7 linked regions of the Macaca fascicularis genome follow. The protein of the gene in region 6 purifies or fractionates together with the protein of the main gene of each other region. This does not show direct contact. Links are inferred from orthologs where the notes say so. Each region holds a gene or a part of one and is shown on either strand. Other genes may lie near its edges.

Region 1 (4,300 bases), on a different chromosome or scaffold from region 6:
GGCTAATTTCCTCTTTTACATTTTTAAAATCTTTTTCTGACAGTTGTTTCTCAGCCGGAGTTGTACTAAAGCGCCTAACTGGTCTTTTTTCTTTAATTTTTTTCCAGACAGGATCTCCCTCTGTTGCACAGGCTGGAGTGCAGTGGCACTACCTCAGCTCACCACAACCTCTGCCTCCTGGGCTCAAGCAATCCTCCCACCTCAGCCTCCCAAGTAGCTGGGACTGCAGGTACAAGCCACTACGTTCAGTTAATTTTTGTATTTTTTGTAGAGACAGGGTTTCACCATGTTGTTCAGGCTGGTCTTAATTCCTGAGCTCAAGCTATCTGCCCGCCTTGGCCTCCCAAAGTGCTGGGATTACAGGCCTGAGCCACCATGTCCCGCCTGGTCATTTTTCTCTAGGCTCTCTCCTTTCCCAAACTTTTCTCCATGTTGCAACCAGGGTTCTTTTAAAGCTCACACGTGTTCTTTTAGTCTGGCACTGCAGAGTACTCCTGGATCTGGACCTACTCCTTTTCCAGACTTTTAAATTTTTATTTATTATTTATTTATTTATTTTTTTGAGACAGAGCCTCTCTCTGTATCCCAGGCTACAGTGCAGTGGACGATCTCGGTTCGCTGCAACTTCTGCCTCCCACGTTCAAGCGATTCGCCCACCTCAACTTCCCTAGTAACTGCGATTACAGGCGCGTGTCACCATGTCCGGCTAATTTTTGTATTTTTAATAGAGACGGGGTTTTACCATCTTGGCCAGGCTGGTCTCAAACTCGTGATCTCAAGTGATCCACCTGCCTCGGCCTCCCAAAGTGCTGGGGTTACAGGCGTGAGCCACCGCGCCCTCAGTTCATTTTTCTTTTTAAGCCCATTATAATCTCTGTAAGTCCTATCAGTTCCAAGAGACTTTCTGCACAAATACATCTCCAGGTTGTCAAACCTAAAAATATTTTCCTAGAGGATGGCCTGTGACGTCAAGGCGCCAGGTAGACCCCGGAGGAAAGCTCCAAAGGAGGCCGCCATCTTTCTTACAGCAGCCCGGCATTTTGCGCATGCGCTTCTGATTGTCTGTCCGCAATGACGCTCTTCGGCCTTCTCGGCACCCATACGTTTGGGAACGGCAGTTTCGAGGTTTGTGAGACTTCGGCTTCCGACCGGAAGTGAGAAGAGCAGGAAGTTGGCTGGTTGCACCGGTCTGGGGGCTTCCCGGGCTCCGGTAACCGGAGGACTGGGATCTAATCGTCGCTCAAAGGCTCCTAGGTGCGCGGGTGCATATAATTCCCGACTTCTCGAGAAGACACTAGAGCCTCAAGGAGGTGTGCTTCTAGTGTTTAAGTGGACACGTGTTGTGGATGCTGGCTTAGAAGGACCTATATACCATCATTTTAAAATAACTTCCTCTTGGCTCTCTCTTTTTTTTTGAGACGGAGTTTCGCTCTTGTTGCACAGGCTGGAGTGCAACGGCGCGATCTCAGCTCACCACAACCTCGCCTTCCGGGTTCAAGCGATTCTGCTGCGTCAGCCTCCTGAGTAGCTGGGATTGCAGGCGCTCGCCACCAGGCCTAGCTAATTTTTTGTATTTTTAGTAGAGACGGAGTTTCTTAATGTTGGTCAGGCTGGTCTCGAACTCCCAACCTCCGGTTGATCCGCCAGCCTCGGCCTCCCAAAGTGCTGGGATTACAGGTGTGAGAAACCGCGCCTGGCCTTGGCTCTCTTTAAAAGGCATTTTTAGGCTAGCCGCAGTGACTCTCCCTCCTGTAGTCCCAGCTACTCGGGAGGCTGAGGTGGGAGGATCGCTTGAGCCCAGGAGTTCGAGGTTATAGTGAACTAGGAACTCCCCCACTGCACTCCATCCTGGGCTACAGAGCGAGATCCTGTCACCAAAAAAGAAAAGGGTATGGGGGAAAGGCATTTTCAGAGCGATGGAATGCCTAGATTCTAGTTTGGTCCCAACTCTGCTACCAAGTTGCTGTGTGTATCCTGTCCCTCTCTGAGTCTCAATGTCCTCATCTGTAAAAATGAAGGTCCCTTAAGACACTTTTCAGTTCTTCTGAATTTTGTTGCCTCTTTATTATCTCGTTTGAGCCACATAACCTTGGGAGTTAAAAATCATTGGCCTTTGGCTGGGCGTGGTGGCTCACGCCTATAATGCCAGCACTTTGGGAGGCCCACTCACCTGAGGATCATCTGAGGCCAGGAGTTCAAGGCCAACCTGGCCAACATGACAAAACTCTGTCTCTACTAAAAATATTAAAAAAAATTAGCCGGGTATGGTTGTGGGTGCCTGTAATCCCAGCTACTCGGGAAGCTGAGGCAGGAGAATCGCTTGAACCTGGGAGGCGGAGGCTGCAGTGAACAGAGATTGCACCATTGCACTCCAGCCTGAGCGACAAGAGTGAAACTCTGTCTCAAAAAAAAAAAAAAAAAAAAATTGCTGGTCTCATTTTATGAGGAAGATATTGAGTCCCAGGGTGAGGGGTTATAGACAGGACTTTCTCAAGATTGCACAGGTAACTTGGAGGTTTCAGAACTTGAGACTAGAAGGCAATGCTGTAACTCCATGACCAGATCTCCTTTTTATATTTCTGTATCATCAGTTCCTGGAACTGGCCATGTAAGACACTGAAATGTTTTTAAATGAATGAATCTTTTGATTTGAAGGCCAGTGCCACAACAGATTTGGTCTCTCTCGACTACTCTGATGTATAAACAAGTGAACTCTTTTCCAGGTATATCCCGTGCCTTACCTGACTGGGGGCTCTGAGTCCAGTTGTGTTGTCTTCAACTTAGACACCATGGAGGCACCTCCAGTCACCATGATGCCTGTCACTGGGGGCACCATTAACATGATGGAGTACCTATTGCAGGGTAAGTGAACCAGGGAACTTGGATTACCTGTTTTCCTCTTCTCTGTTCAGCTTCCCTTAAGATGAGAGACAACACAAAAGCAGCCTGCACAGTTTCTGGCACCCAACTATGTTTTTAACTGTTACTTTAAATTACAGTTTTACATGCACTAAACATATTAAATCTGCCATCTTGGCCGGGTGCAGTGACTCACGCGTGTAATCCGAGCACTTTGGGAAGCCGAGGCGGGTGGATCACGAGGTCAGGAGATTGAGACCATCCTGGCTAACACGGTGAAACCCTGTCTCTACTAAAAATACAGAAAGAAATTAGTCCGGCGTGATGGCGGGTGCCTGTAGTCCCAGCTACTTGGGAGGCTGAGGCAGGACAATGGTGCGAGCCTGGGAGGCGGAGATTGCAGTGAGCCGAGATCGCAACACTGCACTCCAGCCTGGGCGACAGAGCAAGACTCTGTCTCAAAAAAAAAAAAAAACCTTAACATATTTAAGTGTACTGTTCAGTATTGTTAAGTATATTAACATTGCTGAACAACAGATCTTTAGAACTTTGGTTTATTGTGAGTAGCTTGAAAAAATACTTAGTACAACTGTTTTTTTCTTTGAGACAGAGTCTCGATCGGTCACCCAGGCTGCAATGCAGTGGCATGATAACAGCTCATGCAACCTCCACTTCCCGGTTCAGTGGATTCTTGTATTTCAGCCCCCCGAATAGCTGGGATTGCAGGCGTGCATCACCATGCCCGGCTAGTTTTTGTATTTTTAGTAGAGAGTTGCAGTTTCATTATGTTGGCCAAACTGATCTTGAACTCTTGCCTTCAAGTGATACACTTGCCTTGGCCTCCCAAAGTGCTAGGATTACAGGGATGAGCCGCCACGCCCAGCCTAAAATGCTTGTTTATCATCCTATAAAACTGCAACTCTTTACCCCTTAAACACTAATTCCCACTCCCCTCTATGCCAAACCCTCAGCAGCTATCTTTCTAGGTCCTGTTTCTCTGATTTTTTTTTTTTTTTTTAAGATGGATTCTCACTCTGTTGCCCAGGATGGAGCACAGTGGTGCAATCTCAGCTTACTGCAGCCCCCACCTCCCAGGTTCAAGCAATTCTCCTGCCTCAGCCTCCTAAGTAGCGGGGTTACAGGCGTGCACCACCATGGCTAGCTAATGTTTGTATTTTTAGTAGAGACGGGGTTTCTCCACGTTGGCCAGGCTGGTCTTGAACTCCTGACCTCAGGTGATCCACCTGCCTTGGTCTCCCAAAGTGCTGGGATTACAGGCGTGAGCCACTGCGCCAGGCCAGATTTTGTCAACAAGTATCTGAATATGTTCCAAACATTTGAGCCATAGCCATGGAGGGAGAAAGATGACTAAAAAATAATGTATGTCAAGCCAGCTATTACAGGCTTATGACTGTAATTCCAGTCGTTTGGGAGGCTAAGG
Region 2 (3,500 bases), about 21 Mb from region 6:
ATTCTCAGAGTGTGGTCCCAACACCAGCAGTATCAGCATCATCTGGTCTTACAAGAAATGCAAAATTCTCAGACCTTATCCCAGATTTACTGAATCAGAAGCTCCGTGGCTGGGGCGCCAGCCATCTATAGCTTAGCAAGCCCTCCAGGTGATTTGGTAAATTTGAAAAACAAATGCTCTAGCCCTAACAGGAGTTACGAAAAATGGACGTTCATCATGCCTAACATTTTTTCTGAAAAGGAGAAGACAGATGAGGTTTGCCTTTCTCCCTACTAGAAAAGCCAGGTTTATAGTTTTTCTGGGAGTAAAAAAAAAAATTCAGTGAAGTGTCATATATGTGCACTCTGTGAAGTTCTATTACATTATACTTCTCCCCATTTCAGTTCTATGAGAGAGAAAAAATTTTCAGGTACTATGTTAATTTTCATGAGATTCTGAAACCATTAACTATTTTTTTCTCTTTTTCAAATTTTTTCACTTTTTTTTCCTCTTCCTACTCTTCCTTCCCTTAAAACTGTTACCTAAGGTGAAACCACAAAAATTAAACTTTTAGAAACATGCCCAGTCCCAGAGTAGGACACAGAACAACTTGAGAGATTTTGGAAGTAACGACAATTTTTTTTTTTTTTCCCCTAGAGATAGGGTCTGGCTCTGTCACCCAGGATGTGCTGCAGTGGTGTGACCATAGTACCCTGTAACCTTAAATTCCTGGGCTCAAGTCATCCCCCTTGCCTCAGCCTCTCAAGCAGTTAGGACTAGAGGCATGTGCTACCATGCCCAGACCCTAAATAATTTTTAAAATAAATAAAAGCTAATTTTATTCAGATGTCACCAAGACTCACTCTAGAACACCACTGTGAATGGGAAGAAGGATTTCATGTGTATTCAATAAGTAATTCAAGACAAAATTACCTGTAGTGGGCCTGGAAAACAGCTCAGGGTGTGTGAAGCCCAATTATGAGGAGTGAAACTCATGATGGTCTGAAGTATGTCTTTACACCAAGTTCCCTGAATTGAATCAGAGCCTGTAAAAAAATCTAAACATAAACAAATAGATGTAATCCAGATATAAGTGATTATGTCCACAACTCATAAAAGATTATGGCAAAAATAATAATTAAGTACACTGAGAATTTCACTGTAGTGCATTCATTGCTTAACTAGTTATATCCAGCTTAGAACCTAAATTTGCTTAGTTTCTGAGTGATCTGGATGATCACATTAGAAAATATGAGAACAATTTATGAAAAGATGACAAAAGACATTTGGAATCTCTTTTTTGAAGTTACAGAGTACCAGTGATAATGGTACAGGTCCACCACTACTGTTCATTTATTTTGACACTGATTTAGTAGTACTTTATTTGGCCAAGGGAACAGAATAAAGAAAGATGTCTTTTTTGGAGAGTGAAATAATTACATAATGCATGTATAAATCTCAGAATTGAAGAGGGTTCTTTACATAAAACAACATAATTTACATAAACGTATTTGAGGTTGCTAAAATCAGTAACTATCTCTTTAAAACATCAGTTCTAAAGTGTGGTCTTCAGACCTCTGAGGGATTCCCCAGTAGCCCTTCAAAGATTCAGTGAGGTCAAATAATAATAAAAAGATATCACTGGCTTTTTTACTAGATATGAGCACTGATGGTGCAAAAGCAATGGTGGTAAAACTGCTGGTCCTAAGCACAAATCAAACAGTGGTGCCAAACTAGATGAAAAGGCTTTGTATTCTCCACCACATGCACTCAGTAAAAGAAAAGTGCCAGTGTCAATCTCGACACTTATTTTTAATATCATATTTAACAAAATGGGAAGCATATGCCTAGTGTTCCAAAGTTTGATGGGTGTCTTGAGGAAAAACACTTGTGTGACTGACTACTGAGTTAAATCAGCTGCATTTTTTTTTTTTGAATTCCAATTTTACTTGAAAGAATGTCTGACAGAAAACTATAGTTAGCTAGACTTAAGTATTTAGCAGACATTTTCTTGAAAATTAACAAAATGAGCTTGTCACTTCAAGGAAAACAAATGATAGTAACTTTTACTAATGATAAAATTTGACCTTTTAAGTAAAAATGGAAATTTTGGAAAACATGTATCTACCACCATGACATGACAGCATTCTAAAACTTAGATTTTTCTAATAAACTTTGCAGTGATATTAACAAATGTAATTTTCTGATACTGTATGATAAAATGTCAACATTTGCTAGATCTACGTAACTCAGTGAACCAATATTTTCAAAATGAATAACTCATGAAGTTACAAAACATGCACGGATTTAAAAATCCACTAAATGTACAAAACAGATGTTCAGATTACAATGTAACAAAGTACGTGAAGTTCACTGATAGGGTTTTGGATTCCACATTGCAACTAACTTTTTTTTTTTTTTTTTGAGACGGAGTCTCGCTCTGTCGCCCAGGCTGGAGTGCAGTGGCGCGATCTCGGCTCACTGCAAGCTCCGCCTCCCGGGTTCACGCCATTCTCCTGCCTCAGCCTCCCGAGTAGCTGGGACTACAGGCGCCCACAACCGCGCCCGGCTAATTTTTTGTATTTTTAGTAGAGACGGGGTTTCACCGTGGTCTCGATCTCCTGACCTTGTGATCTGCCCGTCTTGGCCTCCCAAAGTGCTGGGATTACAGGCGTGAGCCACCGCGCCCGGCGCAACTAACTTTTAAGCAACTATCATTTTTCCATGTGATGTCAAAGAACATTCACAACGATCTGAAAAGGCTATTAAAATACTCCTCTCTTTCTAACCTCATCTGTGTGAGGCCACATTTTTTACTCACTTCAACTAAAACTTCAATGGATTAAATGTCTAAGCAGATGAGAATTCAAACTATGTCTTCCTTTACATCGGGTATTAGAGAAGCAAAAATGTAAAACAATGGTATCTCTTCTCACTAAAGTTTTGCTTTACAAAATATACTTTTTTCCATAACATCATATGCTAACATGTAATGTTTATTACTATTTAAAAACAAATTAATAAATATTTTTAAACTTTATTTTACTAATAGAATAAATATCCATAGATATAATCCATATAAACAGAAACTCTTTGGGAATTTCAATTTTAAGAGTGTAAAGCAGTCTTGAGACCAAAAAGCTTAAAGAATTACTACTTTAAAATTATGGAAGATAACTGAAAACTGATGCTCAACCCAGTTATTAATAGAATGATGTTACACAAAAGAGCTTCCATAAATGAATGAAATAGTGAAGATATCAAAACAACTGGCTTTTTTTGAACAAATGAAAAGTATCTTTTTAGTATGTTATACCCATAGTAATTAGTAGAATCACGGCACACTTTAATTCATCTGTTTTTGTTTGTTTGTAGTCACATAGTCACCGTACCTGTAACATGAGTTGCTCTAGCCAAGGTCAATATCAAGGCTCGGTTCAGTTCTTCAGATTCTGCTGAGAGCACTGTTTTGGGATCACTAAGGAAGCGTGTAAACTGCGGTTGTACCTCTGAGCTACCTA
Region 3 (2,971 bases), on a different chromosome or scaffold from region 6:
AAACTTGTTATAACTAGTTGATAGTTTCTGAATTGCATAATTTCTGTGTTCAAAGATTAGTGTCATTCAAGGCAGAACCTATTCCACTCCTAATAACGTTTTATAGGAGTAGTGAAGATTTGACTGTTCTTCTCTTACAGCCTCAAAAACTGGTAGAATCTGAGTGTCTTCAGGCCAACCTGGTGGAAATGTTGTTCTCTGAAGATTAAGATTTTATGATGGCAATCATGTCTTGATTTCCTGATTTGTTCTAGTATCAATAAACTGTATATTGCTTTGAATACATGTTAGCAATAAATGAGGTTAAAAAACTGGCATGTGTCTAAACAGTAGAGTGCTATTAAAATGCCCATGAACCTTTAGTTTGCCTGTAATATATGGATATTTTTAAGATATAAACAAGTCTTCAGAAGTAGCAGTAAAGGCTCAAAGGAATGTATCATTGAAGGTGACGGAAATACCTAAAAACTCCTAAAGGCGCAGAGCACACCTTCCAAATCTTTCAAAAGATCAGGATCTTTTATTTTAAATTATCTGCATCTGCAAAGCAACTGATATTCCTGAAACCCCTTCTTTGATTTTGGAACGTAGAACCTAACCTCACCACTGAAGGAAGCATATTACCTCTAATCCAGCCTCTGCTTAATTCAGGCAGTTTTGTTTTGTTCATGAAGAAACCGATCCTGAGCACTAGAGGCAGTTCGTTTTGCGGCTCTCTCAATGTGCTTTACTTGGGATTAGGCAGGTGGCGGAGAGGGGCTGGAAAGACTGTGTAACCCAGTGGTGGGAAGAACTCCAAGCTGGAGTCAGTCACACTGATTCTACCACTTACTAGCTGTGTAACCACAGGCAAGTTACCCGCCCCATCCAAACCTCAGTTTTCTCTTCTGTAAACAAGGTTCTGAGAATAAAATGAGAATTCAAGGAAGCACTTAACATAGCACCTGGTATGTGGTACCTCCCAAATCAATGTTAGTTTTCCCAAATGAGCACAAGTATTTGAGGCTCCTCATGTTTGTTCTAAAGTCAAGAGTCCAATTAGTAATTAACCACTAGTTGTCCTGCCATGACTAGGTCAAATGAGGCCACAGTGATTCTTAAAGCCACCTTGCAAAGCAGGTAATACAGGGATTTCCTGTCCTGCAGAATTTGAGAACCTTTATGCAGTTCCTATCCTGTGATTTCAAGAGGTCACTGACTCCGCTACTCTCACTACATAGATAAGAGTGGTAGAGTAGTTGATCTGAGAGACAGTAAGGTTCCAGGAGATGGCCTTGCGCTACTATATGTCAGGAAGAGCTAGCCTTAGAATTCAGTATACTTGGTGGCCCACCCCTACCCCATGCCCCAGTGCCTCATTTGGTCTAAAGCACCTAACTTTTCCATTCTTAATCAGCTGACTATGCTAAATGCATACAAAAGAAAACACCTTACAAATCCACAGGGAAATCAAAGTAGACCAATTCAGGTTTAAAAGAAATAGTCTATTAACAATAAAAAGTTGGATTAAAAAGCACACTAAAGGTTCTAGGGGCTACCATAATAAAGGTAGATAGGAAGAGTTTTCATTTTTTGTCTTCACTGTACAAAAGAAATACATTATATACATGTATTGAGAGCCTCATCTGTATCCGGTTTTTCATTTTCCCGATGTGTTATTTTGCTGTTGCTGCTCTGCCAAGGCTTGCTGAAGGCGCATCCGCTTCCGGGAATAGTGCTGCCAATGTAGAATCTGCTGTTCATCAATGAATTTCGCACACTGAGCATTCACCAGCTCCTTTCGGAAGTGTTCGTATTGGAGCAGCTCTAACATGTGTAAACACTGAGGGTACCTGGGTTTAAGTTTATAAGTAAATGAACAACATAATTTAAGTAAATAATGCCAAGGTCTAATTAAGTTATTCTCTTAAAAATGATCTTGTAGCCTACCATTTCTTTAACTTAGTACACACTGGCAGCATAGGGTGTTTTCCCTGATTGGTCATCAAAGGTCAGTGTTCAGCAATATTTTCGAAAGTGAGAAGGTTTAAGTTCAGAAAGATTAAATTTAAACTTGCTCAGGACCACACAACACAGTAACTGGTAAGCAGAGTGAAAATGTAGGGACAAACCATGCTATTCCCTTCTAGTGGTTTCCAACGTGAAGAACATGAACATATTTTACTAATTCTGTGTTTAATTGATAGTTCTTTGTTTTTCCATCAATAGTGATAAAAAGACAACTTTCATTTAAAAGTGAGTTGGTTTGAAAGAGAACTATGCACATACATTATACTCTTCTTGTCCACAGGGATATACCAACTCTGAAATTAGATATACTCTAGGATTGGACAAGTAAATATACTGTGGATAAGGACAGCCAAATTTCGACAAGGAAAGGAAAAAGGCTAGAATGAATCCTGTGTTACTGAGCTGGTATTGAAAACATTAGTATGTACTTAGGGCTTTTAATATAGGTAGACAGGATAAACAGATGTATACATGTGTGCATGGATACACATACAAACATAGAGTTCTTGAGCTTTGTGTACTGAGAGGGCCTAGAAGCAATGACACTGTGGTACTAATGAACACACAATGTCCAGATTGTGGTATCCAAGGAGCAGGTTTCCTTGGAGAAAAGGGTGATTCAGGGATAAGAGAGGGAAAGTACAAGATGAGCCTGGAACATTACGTAGTGCCAGAAGAAAAAGTGCTAAAAATTATTGGGACGATCAAAAGTATTCAGGAACCAACTTGAAGGGACTCCCAATGGCCAAATCTAGAATACTCAGAGCAAGAAAATACATAATTCTAATTCACAGGATAAAATACTAAATGGATGTAAATTTCTTTAATAAAATAATAAATAGAAAACAAGGGAATGTACTGCCTTACAATCGAATTCCAAACTAATAAATGCAGAATGACAGAATTCGAAAATCACCACAGTAAAAAATGTTTCAAACAAATATCTTCAAAAGATGCTAAA
Region 4 (4,147 bases), on a different chromosome or scaffold from region 6:
GAAGCTGCAGTGAGTCATGATCACAGCACTGCACTTCAGCTTGGGTGACAGAGAATTCAACTTAAAAAAACAAACCTGTATATGCTCTACAGAGAATCACATAAAACAATGTTAATTTTTTTCTTTCAATTAACAAATGTAATTTTTAAAACCTCAAGAGAAGTCTGTTATATTTACCCTACACATTGTGCCTTCTTTATTCCCGCCATTCTAAGTTTCCTTCTGCTATAATTTCCCTTCTAGAAAGAAGGGAAATCTTTTTAGCAGCTGTTTTTTTAGAATTTTTTTTAGGAAAAAACTTCCCTTGACAATTCTTTTAGAGCAGGTTTACTAGTGATAAATCCTGTTAGTTCTCCTTCATTTGAAAAATATCTTGACCTTTTCTTTTTATTTGTACCTTTTTGACTCCTTTATAACACTTAGGTACTTTGAAAAAGTTTTCTGATCAAATCTTCTCTCCCCCCAAAACTATAATGAAGAGTAGAGATTTATGCCAAATGTCTGTGATAGCAAAGTGTTTTTAATAAACATCAATGAAAATACACATAGTTAAAAGTTCAAAAAATTTCTATGACTAGCCAATAAATTGCTGCAACTTTTACAGCTAATGCTGGTGTTCCTGAAATTTGAAACATAGTACTTTTCAAGAACTGTGGACAAGTTTGATTACCACAAAAATAACAGGCAGAGTGTTCTATTGTTTTTTTTTCTCCTGAAACTTAAACTCTGAATAGCAACAGATTGCAGCAAATGTAGCTCAGGATATTCTGAAAAATACAGCCCCAGGAGATGGCCAGTTAAAATGTGGACCACATTTCAATTCCACCTTTCCAGTGGAGATAATCAGTAGACTCAAAGAGATCCAAGGGTTGGATGAGTAACCATAGTTGAAAATGCTGACACAAAGTATTATTTGGCAATAATAAACTGAGGTGAAATGGTGCCAAGTAACTGATGTAGTGGAAGTTATGTTCTGGTCTGACTAGAATACAGCAATAAAAGTTGAGAGGTTAAAAGACAGAACCTTCAGATAAATGAAGAGAATGAGAAAGAATTGATTCAAAAAACATACTTCATTGTGATGACAAGCAAATTAAGGAGAAGGATGAAAAAAAGCAAGGTGAAAAGAAATAGGAAAAATAGTTCAGGCTGTAGAAAAATTTTTTCACAACAGCAAGGAAATTCTCTTGACAGAGAAATTTCTTGGTAAAATAAACATGGAGATGAACTAGAACAGGTATGAGGTTCTGGAAGAAGAAACATTTGCATAAATGTGACTTTCTTATCCAGCCACACTAACTCTATTTCTTAAGAGCAATACAATTTCCAAAACTTTCTTGTTCAAAGCTCAGATTTACACAATGCCACTTCTAAGAGGCAGGACACTAGCCTAAACTAAAATGTTCCTTATGTCTGTTCTTACTGTCTTCTCCTCTGGCTTGAGAGATGTTTTGATTTGCAAAAGTACTGGCCAATACAACAAAATAAAGACATAAATTAAGTCATAACAGAATTTTACATGTTTCCTTATATTATGTTCATTAATGCATTACCTGCCGCAATAATTTCACTCAGTTAAAAAATGAGTATGATGGTTTAAAGCTGGTTCAGTCATGATTTTATAAGCTTATTTATCAAGAGTGAAAATAGAAGACTATTAAAAATAGCTAAAAAGGTAACGTGTCATAGTGTTTAATGTTTCTGTAATTGTTGATAAGGCTTGTATCTAAGTCTGATGCAGAATTATTAATGGCACTCAAATAGTTCTTTTCTCAGCCACATAGTATCCACTGGTGCTATGAATCTGGAAGAGACTGGCTATGGCTACCACTTCTTGTCTTCAGTTGTGACTGTGCAATATCAGCAAGTGCGCTTTGTATCTTTTCCAGAAGCATGTCTCCTCGATAAACAACATCCTCCAGACATGTAGCAGCTTCATGGTTTTCTTCTTCTAGCTTATATAAGCTAGCAGCCTTTGTAAAACACAAATTTTAAAATCTTTAGAGTTTAGAAGGAGAGAAGCTGTCGCAGATGTACTTATTTTTAAATCTGGATGACTTTGCAATCATTGTGATATATTTTTCAGTAAAAAAATTCTAAAAATCAGATAACTTTTAAGAATTTTCCCCATGTGAATTATTAAAAAGAATGACTTTTCAATTAGAGATCTCTAGATATCTGTAAGTAACTCCCTTCCACACTACGTTTGGACACCATTATTCTACTCCACATCTAGAATGCCACCCTCCTCTCATTCTTCACTAGGAAAAGAGACAAAATTGAGGAAAATAAGAGGTTTTCTTATCAGGGAAAATTGAATATTATCACAAAAGGTACTACGATTTGAATGTGTCCCCTCCAAAATTCATACATTAAAATCTAATCCCCAATGTGATGGTACTAAGAGGGGGAGGGGCCTTTAAGAGGATATTAAGTCATAAAGGCAGAGCTCTCATAGATGGAATTAGTACCCTTAAAATATGGCTTGAGGTTGAAGAGGGAGCTCTTGCTCTTCTGCCCTTCTGCCTTCAGCCATGTGAGGAAACAGGAAGAAGGTCCTCAACATGGTCCTAAACATGGTACCATGTTTAATAAAAATTCATTACTCATGCACAATGAGTAATAAATGCCTTGATCTTGGACTTCCCAGACTCCAGAACTGTGAGAAAATTAATTTTTGTTCTTTATAAATTACTGTCTCAGGTATGTTGTTATAGCAGCACAAATGGACACAGACAAAAGGTATTAAATCTACCTCCTTTAATTCAAAATTCTCTATTACTGGTAAAATTCTCAAAGGAATAGAGGCTTACCTGTAAAGCAGCTGTAGATTCTTCACTGGGTAAGGAATCTATCAAAACATCAATGTCTTTTGCGGTTCGGGCAATCAGTGCTGCAAAAAGCTGGGCATACTCTAGAGATAAAGATACTGCTAGATTAGGATATTAGAAAACCTCAAGTTTTCAGAAACAAATTTTAAGTTCATGAAACCAGAAACTTCATATAGCTTTTTCTGTCCTAAGATTCTAATGATTCGGCCAGGCATGGTGGCTCACACCTGTAATCCCGGGACTTTGGGAGGCCAAGGTGGGCAGATCACAAGGTCAGGAGTTTGAGACCAGCCTGACCAACATGGTGAAATCCCATCTCTACTAAAAATACAAAAATTAACCAGGCGTGGTGGCATGTGCCTGTAATCCCAGCTACTCAGGAGGCTGAGTCAGGAGAATCTCTTGAACCTGGGAGGAAAAAGTTGCAGTGAGCCAAGACTGCATCACTGCGCTCCAGCCTGGGTGACAAAGCGAAACTCCATCTCAAAAAAAAGATTCTAATGAGTCTAATGATTAAATATGCACCAATCCTGTTATACATTTAGCTCAAATTGGGAATTAAGCATAATGTATGTCATTTCATTTATCATGACAATATAGTGGTCACTTGAATAAAGAAATTTATAGGGGGGCAGAGCAAGATGGCCGAATAGGAACAGCTCCAGTCTCCAACTCCCAGCGCGAGCGACACAGAAGACCGGTGATTTCTGCATTTTCAACTGAGGTACTGGGTTCATCTCACTGGGGAGTGCCGGACAATCGGTGCTGGTCAGCTGTTGCAGCCCGACCAGCGAGAGCTGAAGCAGGGCGAGGCATTGCCTCACCTGGGAAGCGCAAGGGGGAAGGGAATCCCTTTTCCTAGCCAGGGGAACTGAGACACACAACACCTGGAAAATCGGGTAACTCCCACCCCAATACTGCGCTTTAAGCAAACAGGCACACCAGGAGATCATATCCCACACCTGGCCCGGAGGGTCCCACACCCACGGAGCCTCCCTCATTGCTAGCACAGCAGTCTGTGATCTACCGGCAAGGCAGCAGCGAGGCTGGGGGAGGGGCGCCCGCCATTGCTGAGGCTTAAGTAGGTAAACAAAGCTGCTGGGAAGCTCGAACTGGGTGGAGCTCACAGCAGCTCAAGGAAACCTGCCTGTCTCGGTAGACTCCACCTCTGGGGACAGGGCAATAACAAACACAGCCGAAACCTCTGCAGACCCAAACGACTCTGTCTGACAGCTTTGAAGAGAGCAGTGGATCTCCCAACACGGAGGTTGAGATCTGAGAAGGGACAGACTCCCTGCTCAAGTGGGTCCCTGACC
Region 5 (3,500 bases), on a different chromosome or scaffold from region 6:
CAGCTGTTTTTGTAGATAAAATTTTATTGGAACACAGCCATCCTCATTTATTTATGTATTTTCGCTGGCTGCTTTTGTGCTACAACATTGGAGCTGAGTAGTTGTGTGGTTGCAAAGAGACTGTGTGGTTGCAAAGACGAAAGTATTTATTATCTGACCCTTTACAGAACAAGTTTGCTAATCCCTAATGAGGGATCCCATCAGGTAGGATGAAATTACAGGTTATAGATAAATTTTCTGTTGCCTCTGTAGGGTCTGATGTTTTAATAACATGAAGATTCTTCATTTGTTACAGTTCAGAGATAAAATAATTTATAGTTAATCTCTACCAAACCAAGAAATAGTTCTTTGTTGTAGCTAAGAAAATGACAGCTGTTTAAGACTTACTTGTTACATACGTTTTTTTCTTTCATTCTACCATGCCCAACTGTATTGCTTATAAATACTCTTGAAATAAATATCAGTGGACTTCCTGTAGACTTAATCCAAAGAGATGCAGAACCAAAATATTGAATCTCGTTAGACATTCCTGTAATTTGAACGCCATGATAACATTATACCATTTTATATTTTAATTAGCTGCCAATGTAGCCAATATTTATTTGATTTGTGATTTAGAAACCCTTTGAATAGTTTGGTGAATATTGCTAGATACCTTTTTTTACATTCCATTATACTTAGAAAATAGAATTTTGTTACACTTTCATAGTAATCATTTCTTTAATTTTAAGTGAAAATTCTGGCTTTTTCAATTCCATTTTAAATATGTTTCTTCAGTTTCTAGAGGAAAATAGAAAGCAAATGTAGGTCACACCATTAGCAAGCAATTTAGGGGCTATAATTACCAAGAAAACATCAACTGGATTATGATTCTGTTTACACAGTAGAATAAAAAAAAGAACCAGTCGGTCAAATAAAGAATTAAATTTCCTACCTGTTTTTATTCTTTAGGTCCTTATCTTGCTTCCCTGCCATTGGACAGCTCTCTACTTTCCCAGCCAAATTTAGTTGCCCCTACAAGTCAGTCTTTGATTACTCCACCTCAGATGACAAATACTGGAAATGCTAATACTCCATCTGCCACCTTAGCATCTGCAGCAAGCAGCACTATGACAATGACTTCAGGTGTTGCCATATCTACTTCAGTTGCCACAGCTAATTCAACTTTGACCACAGCTTCAACTTCATCTTCATCATCCTCCAACTTGAATAGTGGAGTATCATCAAATAAACTACCTTCATTTCCACCCTTTGGCAGTATGAACAGTAATGCTGCAGGATCCATGTCTACACAAGCAAATACAGTTCAGAGTGGTCAACTAGGAGGGCAACAGACATCAACTCTACAGACAGCTGGGATTTCTGGAGAATCATCTTCACTTCCCACTCAGCCGCATCCTGATGTGTCTGAAAGGTACCTTTAAAAATACTGCTTTTGGAGAAATATGAAAACTATGATACTTCTTTTTTCTTTTTTTTCTTGAGACAGAGTCTCATTCTTTTGCCCAGGCTGGAGTGCAGTGGCGGGATCTCCATTCACTGCAACCTCTGCCTCCTGGTTTGAAGCGATTCTCCTCCCTCAACTTCCCCAGTAGCTGGAATTACAGGCATGTGCCACCACACCTGGCTAATTTTTGTATTTTTAGTAGAGATGGGGTTTTGCCGTGTTGACCAGGCTCAAACTTCTGACCTCAGGTGATTGGCCCGCCTTGGCTTCCGAAAGTGCTGGGATTACAGACATGAGCCACCATGCCCAACCATGCTGCTTTTTTGTAAATAAGACATTCTGAATGAACATAAAGTGCTTTTTATCTTATTCTTGAAATTTTAGTTTGTATCTTTTTTTAAGACAAGGTCTCACTCTGTCACCCAGACTGGAGTACAGTGCGTGATCACGGCTCACCACAGGCTCGACCTCTTGGGCTCAGGTGATCCTCCCACGTCAGCCTTCTGAGTAGCTGGGACTTACAGGCATGCACAACCACACCCAGCTACTTTTTTGTAGAGACGGGGTTTCACCATGTCGCCCTGGCTGGTCTGGAACTCTTGGACTCAGCGATCTGCCTGCCTTAGCCTCCCAAAGTGCTGGGATTACAGGCATGAGCTACCGCACCAGGTCTAGTGTTGAATATTTTATGTATAAAATTATAATGAGGACTTTACTTCATAAAATCTTTATCATAGAATTCTAGAATCTGAGGGTGGGAATTAAGAGCTTGAAAACCATGTAGTCCAGATGCCCACATGACATTTGAGTCTTCTGTGGCATAATTGTCAAGTAGATTTGCCTCTGCAAATCACTCGAGTGATTGAGAAGTCACTATTGACCCAGTCTATTCAGAGGCTTTAGAGGGGTACTAAAGTTTGAATCTCAGCTCTGCCATTTAGCTGCTTTGTGACTTTGGGGAAACTCTAACTTTCTGAGCATGTTTTCTTATGTGTAAGATGAGAGTAATATGATATAATATACATTAAGTACTTTACACAGTGATTCCAAGTTATTTATGGTGACAGGAATGATCATGACAGCTCTCATTCCTTTTATGATGAAGGTTTTGAGTGATCTTCCCTTTTGATTTATAGGCTAGGTTAACCAGAGCTTAATTATATCTGTCAGCTATCCAGGGTGCAGTTGTGCCCAAAATTACACTCATGGGTAAAAACAAACCATTACCCAGATTGATCCACCTCTCTTGAACATATGAATAGATTTGAAGTGTAAAAAAATCAAATCACTCATCAAAGAATGAAACTTGTTCACCATTGAAGCTATAAAGTATGAAATAAATGTATATAGTCTAAAAATAGGACGAGATTAAGTGGTTCATGCCTGTAATCCTGGCACTTTGAGAGGCTAAGGCAGGAGAATTGCTTGAGACCAAGAGTTCAAGACCAACCTGGTTAACATAGTGAGACCCCCATCTCAAAAAAAAAACATGTATATATAGTCTAAAAATGTACTAGAACATTGAATGAGTCTGGAAACGTGGTTTCTGGAAACATGGTTTCTTTCTGGCCTAGCTCTACCTGTAACCAACTTTATAAATTTGGGAAGCTATTTGAGATAGCCTCAGACAAAGAGACCTATCTTTGTCTCAGTTTTATCCCTTAAACTCTAAGCAATCTTTTGTATCTAATACTCTATGGTTTTAAGAATTCTTTTTTTCTTTTTTTTTCTTTTTCTTTTTTGGTAAATTTAAGGCAAGACCTCTTAAGGCAAGTGTCTTTATACATTGTGGAATTGTATTTACAATGTTTATGGTTAACTTTGGTGAGAAAGAAATGTCCTTCATTTTCAGAGAGGCTTTCTCACACCTTTCACCAAATAAGAGGGAGGAGGGGGGATATTAAGAACCTGCTTAGATGCTACGTCAAGCATATACAGTATAACTTTTTGTCTCATTTCTACCTTAAATTTTAGCACGATGGATCGGGATAAAGTGGGAATCCCCACAGATGGTGATTCACATGCGATCACATATCCACCTGCAATTGTTGTT
Region 6 (3,500 bases):
TGAAAGCAAAGCCCTCGATTCTGGAAGGCCTTATCTTCTAACACTGTTGCATTGGGAATTAAGTTTCAACAACATGAATTTTGGAGGGGACATAAACATTCAAACCATAGTGCACATTAATTATAGGTAGTAATTTCAATGAGAATAGTTAATCTTTTTAAAAAACATATGTAGATTGTTATTTAAACTAGAAACTGAGATTTTAGCATACTAATTATGCCTGTGATTTACAAAAGGTATTCCAGATACCATTAACGTATATAGTTCAGGTTTAGGCTGCAGTATTAAAGACTTTTAAGAATGTAAGGGTCAATGGGTAGTTTATGTCTGTTATGTTTTAGCATGAATAAAGGTCTCCGTTCAAGGCCACAGCTGTGGTTTTATTTTTTCTGAGTAATGACTGGTAACTGATATGCTGGACTAGGAAACCTGGAAGGCTGGCAGAAGGAAGAACATGTGGCTTGGAATATGAGTAAAACAAACTGATGAAGGCATTTACTTTGAGCAGAAATGAGATTAAGGGTGATGGCATGTGAGGTGTTTGTTATAAATATGCACACCTACCGAAAATTGTGGAAGAGCTTCTCTATTGGCAACTTACCAGGAAAATTTTAGGACAGGATGGCTTATAGGAACAAAAGCAGACATCATTAAGAGAAATAGAGATTGGCATTGATCATTTCTGACCCCTTTTTCTCACAATCCTTGGTGAGGTCCTTTGCCTGTATCCATCTCTCAAGGACAGTGCTAATATCAAGGTTCTATCCTGGGCCCTCTTCTCACTCTGGATACTTTCCCAGTCAGATGTCATGATTTTGATGGCCACAATTCACCATCCATTATGTGGATAACTCCCAATATGTATCTTACTCCGTTCACTTTTCCAAGTTTCAAAATCATTTATCTAATTGCCTTATGGAATCCCAACCTGAATGTTCTATAAATTCTTTAAACACCCAAAACCAAACTAGTTATTTTCATTTAACATTGTATGGTACCTTGTTGGCAAGGGTACAGTAAAATGGACATTCCGGCCAGGCACAGTGGCTCACTCATGCCTTTACTCCCCACACTTTGGGAGGCTGAGTCGGGAAGATCTCGAGCCCAGGAGTTTGAAACTAGCCTGGGCAACATAGTTAGACCCTATCTCTATTTTTATTTTTTAAAAATTATTACTCATATGCTACTGGAGAGAATGAGTACTTCTCAAATTTCAGTGTACCTACAAACCACCTGGAGACCTTGTTAAAAATGTAGATTCTAAGTCAGAATCAGGGGTGAGGACTAAGAACCTTCATTTCTAATGCAGGCTCTCAGGTGATGCCCAGGTTGCTGGTAAAGGCTACATTTGTGTAGTGAGATTCTAGAGCACCTAAAAAAGACTTTAAAATGTGCATGCCCTTTGACCTGATAATTCCTGGAATTTATCCTGTGGAAGTAATCAGAGCTGCCACAAATAGATGAGTACTTCTTATATACCAGGGTGGTGCTAAACCCTTTACCGACATTTTTTCCTAAGATCTTCCTAGCAAATCTATAGGGTAGGTATAATTACAGTTTCCACTTTTCAGATTCGGAACCTAAGGCTTTCACAGAGGTTAACTAACTTGCCCAAGATCACACAATTGGTGAATGACTGAATCAGGGTCTAGGAGGGGTCTCTGAGTCTCATCCGCTAGGCAGTGTCGGCTCCCTGCCATGCGTATCAGATTTAGCTACAACGACTTGTATGCCACAGTTATTATGAAACGAGTAATACCCGTACCAGTAGGAGATAGGCAGCCACTCAATAAGTTTGAAGAGTATTTGACAAGGGAAAATGTTTATGGAACAATATTAAATAAAAAGCTAAGACAATTTTTATAGTAGGATTCCAATTTTATAAAAACAAAGCAAAAATTCCTGTGTTTATACCATGTATGTATATGCCACACACACACACAACGCCAAAGGGACATTATAAAAATTTTGTCAGTGGTTTTTTGGCCACGGAGTGGCTTGATTGTGATTTTAATTTTCTTCCTTATACTTTCTATATTCTGTAATTCTTTTTATCATGAACATATATTAACTATTTTTAGACCTTTTTAATTTGAAATATTTCATATGTAGGAAATAATATATAATGAAAAAACATATAGTATATTTAGAATAATAAAATGAATACCCCTTTGCTCACCTCTGAACCTAAGAATTAGAACATCACTAAGATTACTAAAGTACTCTGTGTGCCCCATCTCCCTATCCACCTCCCTCCCAGAGGATAGACTCTGAGTGTTCTGCGTTTGAGTTTATCATCCCACAGTTTTTATTAGAGTTCTAGTCCACATGTTTATGTAACTCTAAAAATATTGTTCAATTTATTGTCTTTCAACTTTTTATAAATGGTAACATATTATGTATTTTCTTCTGCAACTTGCTTTTTCTCCTCACTTAACCTCGCATATTCGTTTTTACTGTTGTATAACATTCCATTCTGTGTATATATAAAAACGTACCCATTTTTCAGTTGATGGACATTTGGGTTGTCTATATATATATATGACCATTACTAAAATGCTGCTAAGAACATTTTTATCCATGTATCCTGATATACATGTGCAAAAGCATCCTTTGACTCAGGTTTGTGCCTAGAAATGGAGTTGATGGGTCATAGGCTATACACATTTTCAACACTAATGGTTAATGCATAACTGTTTTCCGAAGGGATTGTAACAGTGTAAACTCTCATGTTATGTGTGACATTTCCTATTTCTTCACACATTTGCTAATATTTGGTAATGTGTTCCTTCTTAATCAGAAAAAACAATGTCTTAAACACATACCTTATAGGAAAGCCAATCTTGGAGCTTGTCATTAAAAAATATCAATTGGATGAGCGTTCCCAGTGACGTGTGACTGTGTGTGTCCTTGCAGGTATGCCAACAGTAGCCTCATAAAGTACATGGAGAAACACAAGGTCAAGCCCGACAGCAAAGTGTTCCTCTTGGTAGGTGCTTCTCTCCCAGACTGAAATCTGATTCTCAGCACAACTCTCGCCTTCTGTTCACTCAGCTGTTCCTCCTCTTTAGAAACAAAAGAAATTGTTGGATGCTGGGGCAAAATTAAATATTTTTTGTTGAGATGTCACCCTTGTCTTTCAGCCTTCACTTTAAATGATTTATCAGCAGAAAATGAACTTTAAAAGGGCTTTAAGGCTGATGATTTCTGCCAGTTTCACATAAAAGTATGTAGTATGCTTAATCTGCAGTGAGGTATACAAAATGTATTTTATATTAATCCTGTTACACAGGAATACAAAAGGCAAGGCGTTGACTTGTAAACAACCTTTTCATGTGCTCTGCATTTCCTGTGTGTCACTCTAGCTTCAGAAACTCCTGACCATGGATCCAACCAAGAGAATTACCTCGGAGCAAGCTCTGCAGGATCCCTATTTTCAGGAGGACCCTTTGCCAACATTAGAGTATGTGTCCCGTCTTTTCTGTGTCCTTTGCTCCAGG
Region 7 (3,965 bases), on a different chromosome or scaffold from region 6:
GTGTCACGATCTCCGCTCACTGCAAGCTCCGCCTCCCGGGTTCACGCCATTCTCCTGCCTCAGCCTCCCGAGTAGCTGGGACTACAGGCACCCGCCACCACGCCCGGCTAATTTTTTTCTATTTTTGGTAGAGACGGGGTTTCACCGTGTTAGCCAGGATGGTCTCGATCTCCTGACCTCGTGATCCGCCTGCCTCGGCCTCCCAAAGTGCTGGGATTACAGGCGTGAGCCACCGCGCCCGGCCGCGCCACTATCTTTCTTAGGATGTAATTACTGCGTCTAGTATCTCAGGTTAAACTTATTTTTCTTTTTTTTTTTTTTTTTTTTTTTGAGACGGAGTCTTGCTCTGTAGCCCGGGCTGGAGTACAGTGGCCGGATCTCAGCTCACCGCAAGCTCCGCCTCCCGGGTTTACGCCATTCTCCTGCCTCAGCCTCCGGAGTAGCTGGGACTACAGGCGCCCGCCACCTCGCCCGGCTAGTTTTTTTGTATTTTTAGTAGAGACGGGGTTTCACGGTGTTAGCCAGGATGGTCTCGATCTCCTGACCTCGTGATCCACCCGTCTCGGCCTCCCAAAGTGCTGGGATTACAGGCTTGAGCCACCGCGCCCGGCCCAAACTTATTTTTCATGAGACATTTCTGATACCGATACCCTTTGAAATGCTAGTCTTGGCCGGGTGACTAGCCAAGGCGAAACCCCGTCTCTACTAAAAATACAAAAATTAGCCAGGCGTGGTGGCGGGTGCCTGTAATCCCAGCTACTAGGGAGGCTGAGGCAGGAGAATCGCTTGAACCCGGGAGACGGAGGTTGCAGTGAGCCGAGATCGTGCCATTGCACTCCGGCCTGGGCGACAAGAGCAAGGCTCCGTGTCAAAAAAAAAAAAAAAAAAAAAAAGCCAGTCTTTAAGTACAGCGACATGTTAATTAATCAGTTAATTTGCGAGTTAACTGCTAAAATAAAATAAGCAAAAAAATGCCGGTTTCCGAAGGGAGCTGAAAGCTACATACAGCGGCGTGAGGCCTGAGACAACTCAGATCAAAGAAGACAGGGCTGAAAGAAATCTCGCGAGGCCCACGCATCGACCAATATTCGCGAGATTTCGATGCCCTGTCCTTTTCCTCTTTCTGGCAGGACCACGGTTTATCTCGCGAATTTTGGGAAGTTCCGTTGGGGAAGATGGCGGCGGCCTCGAGCACCCTTCTCTTCTTGCCGCCGGGGACTTCAGACTGATCCTTCCCGCGAAGAGTAAGGGACTGCTGGTACCCTGCGTCCTGGAATCCCGAGCCAACTTGTTTCCCCCGTTAGTGGTGGGGAAGGGCTTATCCTTTTGTGGCAGATCCAGTCTCTCGCCGCCTTCAGGATGAAAGCTCAGGGGGAAACCGAGGGTAAGTGACTGAGGGGGAAAGGAGGGGGCGGGACACAACTGGGGGAGCCAGTTTGTGAGAGAAGGTTCTTGCAGATGTCCCATGGGGGCCACTTGAGGGGCACAGAGTCCGGGAGAGGGAATGTGTATGAGTTTTAGATTGTCACTATACCCTCCTTGATGACTATAGAGCTTCGACTTTGGGGTGATGGGGACTCTCAACTTCTGTGAAGATTTCATGCTCGGCTAGGGCACTTTTGGCCTAAAGTGGTGCGAGACGGGGCTAGTGAATACAAAACCAGCTTACATCTCCTTCCAGAAGAGACGCCTGAATAAATTTAGGGCTGTGTGTAAACGTACTGGAGACTATTTTGGCATGAATGAAATGATTAATTCCTTGTATTTATTAGCAGCCAGCGGATCCCTACAATGTCAAGTGTTCAGATCCTGTACTGTTGTGTATTTTGTTTTTGTTTTTGTTTTTTTTTTTTTTTTTTTTTTGAGACGGAGTCTCGCTCTGTCGCCCAGGCTGGAGTGCAGTGGCCGGATCTCAGCTCACTGCAAGCTCCGCCTCCTGGGTTCACGCCATTCTCCTGCCTCAGCCTCCCCAGTAGCTGGGACTACAGGCGCCCGCCACCTCGCCCGGCTAGTTTTTTGTATTTTTTTTTAGTAGAGACGGGGTTTCACCGTGTTAGCCAGGATGGTCTCGATCTCCTGACCTCGTGATCCGCCCGTCTCGGCCTCCCAAAGTGCTGGGATTACAGGCTTGAGCCACCGCGCCCGGCCTGTTGTGTATTTTTAAACTGTGCTGAATTTAATTCTTTTATTGACCGAACTAATAACTGCAGAAAAACAACTTTCCTGGGGAACTTTACTAAGATTTTCTAAAGTTCCACACTCCGGCTTAGATGCTTCCTTGGCATTTTGGGCATAGTTCTGTTGATACAGTGAGCTGTGTTATTGTTTGTTTATCTCCAGTTTACTCTGAGCTTTGCAGATTAGGGTCCTTGCCTGATTCATTTTTATATAGTTTCTGGAACGTAATAGTCGCTCAAAAAATCTTGGAGCATCGAAGTGCAGATATTTATCAGCAGGTTTCTCAAGAAAAACAAGGAGTGTGTTTTGGAGGAGAGGTCGAAAGGTGAGGCCCCGCGGGAGCAGTGACTCACATCTGTAATCCCTGCGCTTTGGGAGGCTGAGGCTGGAGGATCCCTTGAGCCCAGGAGTTCGAGACCTGCCTGGGCAACATAGTGAGGCCCTGTCTCTACAAAAAAATGAAAAATTGCCGGGCGCCGTGGCTCACGCCTGTAATCCCAGCACTTTGGGAAGTCGAGGCGGGCGGATCACCTGAGGTTGGGAGATTGAGACCAGCCTGACCAACATGGAGAAACCCTGGCTCTACTAAAAACACAAAATTAGCTGGCTGTGGTGGCGTATGTCTGTAATCCCAGCTACTTGGGAGGCTGAGGTGGGAGGATCACTTGAACCCAGGAGGTGGAGGTTGTGGTGAGCCAAGATTGTGCCATTGCACTCCTGCCTGGGCAACAAGAGGGAAACTTCCTCTCAAAAAAAAAAAAAAAAAAAAAATTGGCTGGGCGTGGTGGCTCATTCCTGTAATCCCAGCATTTTGGGAGACCAAGGTGGCGGATCACCTGAGGTCAGGAGTTCAAGACCAGCCTGGCCAACATGGTGAAACCCTGTCTCTACTAAAAATACAAAATTAGCCCGGCATGGTGGCATGCCTGCAATCCCAGCTACTTGAGAGACTGAGGCAGGAGAATCACTCAAACCCAGGAGGTGGAGGTTGCAGTGAGCCAAGGTGGTGCCACTGGACTCCAGTCTGGGCAACGAGAGCAAAACTCTGTCTCAAAAATATAAATAAATTAATTAAAAATAAATAAATAAATAAAATAAAAAATAAAAAAAATTAGGGCCAGGTAGTGACTCAAGGATGTAGTCCCAGCACTTTGGGAGACCGAAGCAGGCAGATCACTTGAGCTCACAAGTTGGAGACCAGCCTGGACAACCTGGCAAAAGCCTGTCTCTACAACAAATATAAAAATTAACTAGGCATGGTGGCACAAGCCAGTAGTCTCAGCTACTTGGGAGGCTGAGGTGGGAGGATTACCTGAATCCTGTAGGTCAAGGCTCCAGTGAGCCAGAATTGTGCCACTGCACTCCAACCTGGGTGACAGAGCGAGACCCTGTTTCAAGGAAAAATTAGCTATAGCCCCAGCTACTCTGAAGGCTGAGCTGGGAGGATCACTTGATCCTGGAGCATGGGAGGTCGAGGCTACAGTAGACCTTGATTGTGCCAATGCACTTAAGCCGGGGCTGCAGAGTGATGCTCTGTCTTAAAAAAAAAAAAAAAAAAGAAAAAATGTACTCCTCAGGTGCAAGGGGAGAAGGGTAAAAATGGAAACTTTGTGAAGTAGGAGTTTTTGTCTGGTTTGTTCACTGCTGTCTTTTTAGCAATTTCATTTATTCTTTTTCTTTTTTTAAAAAATTTTCCTCTCTAACCCAGTTCAATAACTTTTTTTTGACACAATGTCTCCATCTGTTGCTCAGGATGGAGTAAGTGGTGTGATCAAGGCCCATCTCTG

What was found.
Region 1: the proteins of CDK19 (region 6) and MED18 purify together in Homo sapiens (affinity purification with mass spectrometry; 5 studies listed by BioGRID and IntAct, counting the BioPlex papers as one, with this or other methods). This does not show direct contact. The link is inferred for Macaca fascicularis from reciprocal best matches to the Homo sapiens genes CDK19 and MED18.
Region 2: the proteins of CDK19 (region 6) and MED23 purify together in Homo sapiens (affinity purification with mass spectrometry; 5 studies listed by BioGRID and IntAct, counting the BioPlex papers as one, with this or other methods). This does not show direct contact. The link is inferred for Macaca fascicularis from reciprocal best matches to the Homo sapiens genes CDK19 and MED23.
Region 3: the proteins of CDK19 (region 6) and MED31 purify together in Homo sapiens (affinity purification with mass spectrometry; 6 studies listed by BioGRID and IntAct, counting the BioPlex papers as one, with this or other methods). This does not show direct contact. The link is inferred for Macaca fascicularis from reciprocal best matches to the Homo sapiens genes CDK19 and MED31.
Region 4: the proteins of CDK19 (region 6) and MED21 purify together in Homo sapiens (affinity purification with mass spectrometry; 6 studies listed by BioGRID and IntAct, counting the BioPlex papers as one, with this or other methods). This does not show direct contact. The link is inferred for Macaca fascicularis from reciprocal best matches to the Homo sapiens genes CDK19 and MED21.
Region 5: the proteins of CDK19 (region 6) and MED13 purify together in Homo sapiens (affinity purification with mass spectrometry; 6 studies listed by BioGRID and IntAct, counting the BioPlex papers as one, with this or other methods). This does not show direct contact. The link is inferred for Macaca fascicularis from reciprocal best matches to the Homo sapiens genes CDK19 and MED13.
Region 7: the proteins of CDK19 (region 6) and MED1 purify together in Homo sapiens (affinity purification with mass spectrometry; 7 studies listed by BioGRID and IntAct, counting the BioPlex papers as one, with this or other methods). This does not show direct contact. The link is inferred for Macaca fascicularis from reciprocal best matches to the Homo sapiens genes CDK19 and MED1.

What each region holds. Positions count from the first base shown.
Region 1 is NC_088375.1:206,730,028-206,734,327, reverse strand, and holds the start of MED18 (mediator of RNA polymerase II transcription subunit 18), read left to right. Parts: upstream 1-1,500; 5' UTR 1,501-2,441; coding exon 2,442-2,504; intron 2,505-2,723; coding exon 2,724-2,862; intron 2,863-4,300. UniProt on the Homo sapiens protein: Component of the Mediator complex, a coactivator involved in the regulated transcription of nearly all RNA polymerase II-dependent genes.
Region 2 is NC_088378.1:35,571,250-35,574,749, forward strand, and holds part of MED23 (mediator of RNA polymerase II transcription subunit 23), read right to left. Parts: coding exon 3,372-3,500; intron 1,038-3,371; coding exon 913-1,037; intron 1-912. UniProt on the Homo sapiens protein: Required for transcriptional activation subsequent to the assembly of the pre-initiation complex. Component of the Mediator complex, a coactivator involved in the regulated transcription of nearly all RNA polymerase II-dependent genes.
Region 3 is NC_088390.1:6,686,294-6,689,264, forward strand, and holds the end of MED31 (mediator of RNA polymerase II transcription subunit 31), read right to left. Parts: intron 1,833-2,971; coding exon 1,640-1,832; 3' UTR 501-1,639; downstream 1-500. Other genes in the region: TXNDC17 (thioredoxin domain-containing protein 17), read left to right, coding at 141-209. UniProt on the Homo sapiens protein: Component of the Mediator complex, a coactivator involved in the regulated transcription of nearly all RNA polymerase II-dependent genes.
Region 4 is NC_088385.1:29,787,043-29,791,189, reverse strand, and holds the end of MED21 (mediator of RNA polymerase II transcription subunit 21), read right to left. Parts: intron 2,915-4,147; coding exon 2,814-2,914; intron 1,974-2,813; coding exon 1,797-1,973; 3' UTR 501-1,796; downstream 1-500. UniProt on the Homo sapiens protein: Component of the Mediator complex, a coactivator involved in the regulated transcription of nearly all RNA polymerase II-dependent genes.
Region 5 is NC_088390.1:46,425,498-46,428,997, reverse strand, and holds part of MED13 (mediator of RNA polymerase II transcription subunit 13), read left to right. Parts: intron 1-951; coding exon 952-1,414; intron 1,415-3,421; coding exon 3,422-3,500. UniProt on the Homo sapiens protein: Component of the Mediator complex, a coactivator involved in the regulated transcription of nearly all RNA polymerase II-dependent genes.
Region 6 is NC_088378.1:14,654,570-14,658,069, reverse strand, and holds part of CDK19 (cyclin-dependent kinase 19), read left to right. Parts: intron 1-2,916; coding exon 2,917-2,989; intron 2,990-3,365; coding exon 3,366-3,463; intron 3,464-3,500.
Region 7 is NC_088390.1:60,495,343-60,499,307, reverse strand, and holds the start of MED1 (mediator of RNA polymerase II transcription subunit 1), read left to right. Parts: upstream 1-1,165; 5' UTR 1,166-1,359; coding exon 1,360-1,384; intron 1,385-3,965. UniProt on the Homo sapiens protein: Component of the Mediator complex, a coactivator involved in the regulated transcription of nearly all RNA polymerase II-dependent genes.